Linked DNA regions of Mus musculus. The protein of the gene in region 1 interacts with the protein of each later gene in a pairwise test. Links are inferred from orthologs where the notes say so. Each region holds a gene or a part of one and is shown on either strand. Other genes may lie near its edges.

What was found. The genes of interacting proteins can lie anywhere in the genome.
Region 2: the proteins of Ms4a12 (region 1) and Pllp interact in binary tests that used the Homo sapiens proteins (3 or more experiments, as listed by UniProt). The two-hybrid records come from large-scale screens. The link is inferred for Mus musculus from reciprocal best matches to the Homo sapiens genes MS4A12 and PLLP.

Annotation. Positions count from the first base shown.
Region 1 is NC_000085.6:11,229,654-11,233,849, reverse strand, and holds the start of Ms4a12 (membrane-spanning 4-domains subfamily A member 12), read left to right. Parts: upstream 1-1,396; 5' UTR 1,397-1,481; intron 1,482-3,301; 5' UTR 3,302-3,309; coding exon 3,310-3,570; intron 3,571-4,196. UniProt on the Homo sapiens protein: May be involved in signal transduction as a component of a multimeric receptor complex.
Region 2 is NC_000074.6:94,693,443-94,697,677, reverse strand, and holds the start of Pllp (plasmolipin), read left to right. Parts: upstream 1-1,435; 5' UTR 1,436-1,507; coding exon 1,508-1,642; intron 1,643-4,235. UniProt on the Homo sapiens protein: Main component of the myelin sheath that plays an important role in myelin membrane biogenesis and myelination. Plays an essential function in apical endocytosis. Regulates epithelial development through the regulation of apical endocytosis.

The sequences.
Region 1 (4,196 bases):
TTCTGATTTCTTGTTCTTTTAATGATGCCCATCCTTTGAGCAGGACCATTGACTCAAACTGTCACATTCTAAGGTCCATAACATCACAAATGCTCCAGCATCATGTTGTCTACTTTAGAAAAAATACATACAAATACAAATCCAAAAGAGAAAGGAAACCACCATTAATACACAAAGATAATTTAAAAGCAAACTCTTTTAAAAAGTCCTACTCCTAGCCAGGAAGCTAGTCACGATTGATGCTGCTAGGAGAAGGGAAATATGTTTTCCTCAACCGAATGGCCCTTGGTATCTACCATACTCCAGGACAGGCCACATGTTCAGGAGTAGTTGACCTACTTGGACTCCACAGTTGGTTGGTTGGCTATCCATTTTTAGAGAGAGAAAGAACATGAAGTCGGGTGGTTGGGGAGGTGATGGGGACCTGAGAGGATTTGGGAAAGGAAAAAAAGAATAAAATATTCTTTTCCATATATATTATATGAGCATATATTGTATGAAATTCTCAAAGAATAAATAAAAACAATATTTTCAAAAACCATTCTTTCCTAACCATTCATGTGGTGGTGGTGGTGGTGGTGGTGGTGGTGGTAGTGGTGGTGGTGGTGGTAGTGGTGGTGGTAGTGGTGTGTGTGTGTGTGTGTGTGTGTGTGTGTGTGAAAAGAATTGACACTGATCCCACTTGCTCAATGGATCTCACCACATGTGAAACTTGACAGCCATGGGGCTTTTGAAGGCAAGAATATACATTGGATCTCTGTTCTTAGGACACTTGTTTGCACCTCTAAGACACAAATGAACATGAATAGTTAGACTGCCTCCAAAATTATAACATAACAGTATTGAGAATTATAAGGGTTGATTGACCTGTAAAGGTATTAATAAAATGGTAAGTTAAAAGGGTGTAGTATAGAAAACCTACACAATCTACCTTAATTTGGTGAGTCTTTACAACACCATGTACATCTGTATGTAACACGAATCCTGGCACACGAAAGTTTGCGAATCCTGATGAATTATCCTCAGTAGCAGTGTCCAGGTGTCCAGAGTGCAGGCACTTTTACTCCTCCTCTTTCTGTTCTTCATTGTCTGTGTTTTACAGTTGTACTTGTCTGGTTTAAAAGGCACTAGAACGTGGTGTGGCACTGCTTTAGTGAGGGTCAGAAAGCTAAGGGGCTGGAGAAAGGAACAAGAAGTGTCTGGAAGTGTCACTTCCCAGCATAAGTGAGTCAGAACACACTTCCCTGCATAAATACAAACTACAACGCATTCTCAAATTTACAAATGGGGTGAAAGTGCTTAATGAAAGGACTTTGGAACTATATAAAGATAGGATAGGCTCGCTTGAAGCAAGGAAGTAAAGGCACTTATAAATCCCAGATAAATATCCAAGATCAGAGCAGAACATATAGCTGAGAAAGAGAGAGCCCAGAGGTTCTGGGAAGCTGCATAGGTCCACTGAAACCACCCTGCCTTTCTCGGTGGGTATGGAACGGGGCTGATCTGTTTGGGTGGGTTTGCTGCCACATTCTACTCTCTGGGTGGGAGAGGTGAAGCCAATTCTTAAATCTGTATTGAGACAGTTGACGAATGAAAGAGAAACCCGGAGAGAAACAAGACAATTACTACTAAAGGCACTTCAAGCGAATCTATAGACACATACCCATGTGTGTAAATCTAATGCTAAGGATAGTGGATACACATGTATGAAATTCCATGAATAGTAACCGGCAAGCAGGAACCCTTGGTGACAGTGTCGTGATCGAGGGTCCACGCATAACAGAGACACTGAAACACACAGTTTCTGAATATGATTCACTAAAGAGGCTTCTTTATGGAAAATGAAGACTGGGAAATCACCCTTCACTGGGTCAGCATTTTTTAATATTTGCTGAAAGATGATATTTTCAGACATATGTCCTGCATGATTCGGTTGGAAGTGTCTATGAGTCACTGTGATGTTTCATTATATGCTATATAATACATTCTAAACAATAGTATCATTTTCCTTCTTTTCAAACAAAGGTGGAAAGGAGGTGGTAAGAAATTACAGTCATATTTTCCCATCTTTACTTGGATTAGTTCACCAGCTGGTTTTTCTCCTATTGCTATAGTCCTTATGCTTTATAATTCACCAGAACTTTGGTGTTTTTATTTATGTGTTTGTGTGCTTGAAAATGGTTGTTAGTTCTCATTTTTCAGAAAAAAGCTGGTTGTAAATAGCTTATCATTTGCTAAGAGAAAAAAATGTGCTAACTCCTTTAAAAAAAAAAAAGAAGAAGAAAAGAAAAGAAACAAAACTATGACAATAGACTCAGCACTGAGCTGACTGTCTTCCCTTTATGTGGATCCTCATTTTGACTGGAGGATCTGTTTGGGTCCTCATTTTGATTGAAGGATCAGTTTGGATCTTCATTTTGATTGGAGGATCACTTAATCCTGTTTCCCTGGCATCACTTCCACATCTACATACTAGGTCATTTTCATATGAACCAAAAAATGTAGAACTGGGTCATTTTCTAATCATTTTCTAAAACTTCAGCAGTTTGGGCACAAATCCATCCTGAGATGTGTTTTACAGAGTTAGGTATTAATAGTCTGTGTTCCATGTGAAACTTCCATGTTCAAAAACTAGATCACAGATAAGAAGTCTTAAAATTTCCCTAGCAAAGTTATCAGAGACAAAAAATACACACTGTGTGTGTGTGTGTGTGTGTGTGTGTGTGTGTGTGTGTCCCTCCCTCTCCTTCCCCTCTCATAGAACAATCATTTAATTCTATACTTTTTAAAGCCCAGGAAAATTCTTGTTCTGACTTTATACACCCATCTCCTGTCTCCTTGCTCTTGGCATTGACCTTTTGAAGTTCAACCCATTTCACCAAATGGACACGCATCCTCTATTTGAAATAAGATAATAAGAAATAAGATGGGTTCTAATAACACAATAGTCACTGCCATCACCAAGCTCTTGACCTATGCTGGGAACTCTTACAATGGCTTTATGAAAATTGTCATCATTCAACCTTTATTCTGGCCATTTGAATGGCAACATCTATCCTTTTACAGCATAGATACAGGCTAACAGAAATTTAATTGAGAAAGCTACTCAAGTGAAGTATCAAGTTGGAGACTAAAAATAGCTGGAGTAATATTTAGTCTTAGAAACTGCATCTATTTCTTGTCACTAGCCAGTATGTGCTCACTTGCTCTCTCTCCTATTTGCATAAAAATTGATGACAAGATGTCCTTTAATTTCTCTTCCTGGTAAATGTGTTATTTCTGTATGTTTTGTACTGCTTAGGTGACATAATGACATCTTCCCAGACTACCTACCCTGGAACGCGTGGCATTCCAAATCCTTGCCCACCAACAAGATCCATGGCTCCTCATCCTCCACAACCTCTGAATTTTTTAAACGTAAGAAACCAAGTACAGACTGGGCAAGTTTCCTTCATTACATCTCCAGGAATCTTCCCTAACACACAGCTGGGTCGAGAAAATGTGCCAACGGTAAATCCAGCTCTAGGAGCAGCAATAAGCAATGTTAAAGATGCAGCAATAGCACTTGGGGTAAGTGTATTTGCCACTAGGATTTTAATGTTGCATTTGCAAGGCTTTTATGCATCTGCCAGTTATAAATAGCATATCAACCAATGAGCAAACACATGTAAGGACTATTCTGTTAACTGTGTCTCTCTCAGAAAGAAATGGTCAATCTGTGTATGAGTCACCCTAGGTTCATTTATTTTAGATTCAGATACAAGTCTAAGAGTTGACAGAAGGCTCTCCCTAACAGGAAGATCCAGGAATGGTGACATGACTAGAGCCAATTACTTCTTGATTGGTCTCATTGCCTCTGAAAGTCTTTTTAGGAAACCTTACTTTTGTCTTGGATCAGTTATTAATCTACATTTCTATAAAGACAAATTAACTTTAAAACAATCATTGATAACTGTTTTAAAGGGAATGGCACTACTAGCAAACTGTCTGAGGAAAGCAAAGTGTAAAGTGTAAAAACTATCCTTGGAAATGCTATGTCTTTGTTGCTTTGATTTACAAAAGTTGATTTGAGCTGGACACCCATGGTCTTGTTTCTCTGAGCATTGTAAAGCACGAATGATTTGTAGTAAAGACTCAACATGCTTAGACAGAACTGACCATCGTTACTTAAGCTTTCCCCACACCTCTTCACACAC
Region 2 (4,235 bases), on another chromosome or scaffold:
CAAAAGAAAAAAAGAAGAAGGAATCTTTGCAGAATGTTAGTGATGGGGTGATTGAATAAATACTTAAAATTCCTGATTTGAGGATATTGAACTGTATTATCTGATGGGCAATATAGTCATGACCATATCCTTACAAAAGAGATGAGAGAGAGAGAGAGAGAGAGAGAGAGAGAGAGAGAGAGAGAGAGAGAGAGAGAGAGATATCTTGTGCATAGTAAGAGGAGAGTTGATGATACGAGGAGAGGCAGAGCTAGGTAGGGTACCAGAATCCCCTGCCGGCAGGTCATCTGTAATCCCAGCCTGCAAAGACCTGAGGTACGAGGAATGTCAAAAGCATGAAGTCAGTCTGGATTACAGAGCAATCTCCTGTCTCAAGACAAAAAGTGGGCAAAAGTACCCCAGAGGTTGCCTGAGCTCAGGACACCATGACTGTGTCTCCGTGATGATGCCTTTGCATATCTAGCCTCCATCACTGAGAAGAAACTTTTGTTAGGACCTTGAGCTTGTGATAAGTTGTCACAAGGAGCCATAGGATAGTACAGTCACCTACACAGCTTCTGTGACCTGGTCCTTACCCACTGGGGGTCAGTGTCACCCTCATGTGCTCAGCTCCAGTCCCTTTGGGGACCTGCTTTCTATTTCCCCAACTGCCTAGGTTGGTCCTGCCACTGCGCCTTTGCTCCTCACTTAAATCCTCCCAAGGTTTCCTCCTACTCACAGATTCAGGCCTCTGCACAAATGTCACCACTTCTGACAGGTCTTCCTTGACTAATGTGCTCCTTCCTTTTCTGTCAACTTAATACAAGCTATAGCAATCCAAGAGGAGGGAACCTGGATTGAGAAAATGCCTCTATAAGATCGGGCTCTAGGCAAGCCCTGTAGAGAATTTTCTCAGTGATTGATGGAGGAGGGCCCAGTCCATTGTGAGCGGTGCCATCCCTGGGTCCTGGGTTCTATAAGAAAGCAGGCTGAGCAAGCCAGGGGAAGCAAGCCAGTAAGCAGCACCCCTCCATGGCCTCTGCATCGGCTCCTGCCTCCAGGTCTCTGCCCTGCTTGAGTTCCTGTCCTGATTTCCTTCAGTGATGAGCAATGATATGGAAGCATAAGACAAATAAACCCTTTCTTCCCCAATTTGCTTTTGGTCATGGTTTTCTACCACCGTAATAGAGACCCTAAAACAACCATCTAAAAATCTCCTGGTCACTCTGCCTCGCCCTGTTAGATTCAGTCACAGCAGCAGTTGCCACTACCTGGATTTATTTTTTCCTGCCTGGCTGTCTGTAGATCGGTCTACGGACTTCTTCAAAATCTCTATCCAAACAGGCGAACCCAGGGTTAAGGGGCGGGGCCTCAAGAAGGGGCGGGGCCTCGGGCGGAGCGGGGCTGGGCTTCGCGCACCTGTGAGTTCTGTCTAGGGTACCCAAGCAGCGCCAGCAGCCGGAGCCGCAGTCGCAGCCCCGGAGCAGCGCCGGGAGCGCGGCCAGAGCGTCGTAGGCTCGCGATCGCTATGGCGGAGTTCCCGTCGAAAGTGAGCACGAGGACCAGCAGCCCCGCGCAGGGCGTGGGAGCCTCTGTGTCTGCGCTGCGACCGGATCTGGGCTTCGTGCGCTCCGCTCTTGGGGTGCTCGCGCTTCTGCAGCTGGTGAGCCGGGTAGCTCGGGGACTGGATGGGGGACTCTCCGGGGACCCCCGGGACGCTCACTCCCAAGATCGCCGGGAAGCTTGCACCTGGGGACGCTCGTGTGACATCCCTGCGAGCACAGCATGACTCTTGTGGAGGGGACCATACACACCCTACCCGGGTGGTTACCGTGGCGATACCGTAGCTGAGATAGCTGCGCACAACTGTCCGCCAGTCTGTCCCTTCTCTTCTACCCTTCCCCCTTCCCTCTGGGACCGTGCCCTGGCTTTCTCCGCCGGGCAAAGTCCACTGCCCTCCTCTTCACCCGGCTTTAACCACTAAATGCGACCGCTCTGTAGCCCTCCTGGACAGGGCAGAACACCACATCAGTGGCTCTGACACGCGCGCTCCCACCAGGGCACCTACCCAGGGTCTGCTGGTCGAATCTCCTTCCTTGGGCTGTGGAGATTCGCAGAGGCAAGAAACCACGTGTCTGCCATCCCCCGTACTCTGTGCAGGTCCCAGCTGAAGATCCTAGAGTTGCCCGTTCCCATTGGGTGCATTCTGAGATGTCAGCTGTCTTTTCATAGTCCCCTCCTGCGAGGGTCTGGAGGCCTGTGGCTGCCCCTAGGGAACGGTCTCCATTAACTGAGAGGTCCGCTGGTAGAGGAATAGGGTAGCACCGCAGGTGGGCATGCATCTGTTTCTGTCATCATCCCTCCAGTGGGCACCTCGAGCCAGGCTGCCAGGCCGGGCTGGGGAGTCGGGAGGCTTTCCTGGGCCATCTCCACCTAGGGCATACATACTATCTTGGTTTCGAGATTTCTGATCTTCCTTGGTGAGCCTTCGCCCTTCCCCCTTCCCCCTTCCCCCTTCCCCCTCCGTCTCCTCCCTGGGTTTGTTTAAAATTCAGATTCTTGGGCCCCAACCCCGGAAAAAATGTGAAACTGCTCTTTGAATCTCCAAAAGCGCAGCAAGAAATTTGCATTTTAATGTCTTCTCCTGGAGTGGTTTTGGGTACTGTTTGGTTTTGATGAGATCAGGGAGGGTAGCATGAGGCTCTCTTCTGGGACCAATTTAACTCTGCCGCGCAGACACTGCCGACCCTGGAGTGTTGGGCTCTTGGTGATTGCCTTGTTTGTTTTATTTATTTTGTTTGATTCAATTTGTTTCTGTTTTTTTGAGACAAGAGTCGCATATAGCCCAGATTGGTCTTGAATTCCCTCTTAGCCACAGCTGGCTTCCAATTCCTTGTGTAGCGGAGGCTAGCCTTGGACTAGACCTTCCCCAAGTGTTGTAATTACTTTCTGACACCACCACTCCAGGGGTTTTTCTGGTCTCTTTGAACCTCACACCTGAGAGTCAGCTTTGGGCTGGGGGAGGAGTTAAACGGTTTGTGAAAGGGACAGAGAGGAGAGAGGTCTAGGAAGGAGTTACGGGGAGGCTAGAAGGGTAGTTTTTGAGCTAAGCCTTTGCAGGGAGTGGTGTGGGGACAGCAGACACTGTAGTGCACAGGCTGAGCGGGAGTTGTAGCATCGTTTCTGGTCTGGCTAGGAGCCCAGCATCGTAAGCATCTAGGGCCAGAACTGGGGTCCTGGTTGTGTTGGTGGTCTTGGTAGGTTCTGGAGCATGAAGACATCAGGGTGTGAAATGATAGATCCCTTTTACTCTTTTCCTCCTTCCCTAGATTCGTTCCAAAGAACTCACTTGGAGACTATGCCAGCCGCTGCTTCCTAAGATGTTTCTGTGGCAACCTACTACTCCACTGGGGCCGAGGGGGGAGGGTGGGCAGACAGGTACCATACTTGCTGGAAAGCCACAACAGCACACTGGAGGCTGGTTGTTCTAGACCTTTTGACTAGGTGGGTTTAGTTTGTTTGTTTTAGTTGTTGTTTGTTTGTTTGTTTTGTGGGGTTTTTTGGTTTTTTGGTTTTTTTGAGGGGGGGTTTGTTTGTTTGAAAGACAGGGTCTCTCAACATAGCTTTGGCTTCCTGGGGAGCTGTTTTCTGACTCCTCCTCGGCCTCTACTCTTTATGTTGGTTTGCTCTTACATTGTGGGGTGTGGCACATCAGAGCAAGTGGAAGAGGCTCCATGCCTAGTGCCTGCCCCTGGGGATCAAGGAAGGCTGCTTGGAGGAGGCAGTAGCTGAGGAGATGGAGGTCTTTGCTGGCCAGGTTGCTCTGTCTACTAGGGTATAGAGGGCCCTGCAGCGATGGAAAGATGGATGAGAAGCAAGGCCAAACTTCTGGAGCAAAGCACTGCTCTTCATCTAGCATGGTAGTTCATCTACAGAACCTGACATCTACAGACATCTGATGGCTTTTACTACTCCATAACTGCCCATACCCATCTAGCTCCAGAAAGGATACTGGATGGTGCTATTAATTGTTAATACAGAAGAGTCAGTGTATTTCTAAAGCCTGACTTGAGAGAACTTTTAAAGAGACATCGCCTAGCAGGAAACCTGCAAGTTTAAAATGTTGGCTCAAGGCTGAGCTTCCTGGTAACATAAACAAAAAAAGAAACATGAATCTTCATAGCTATCGTCTAAACAGGCAGGCAAGTTTGACCTAGAGACAATTCTTTTGCTTCATGTTACAGTTCTTTGTGAAG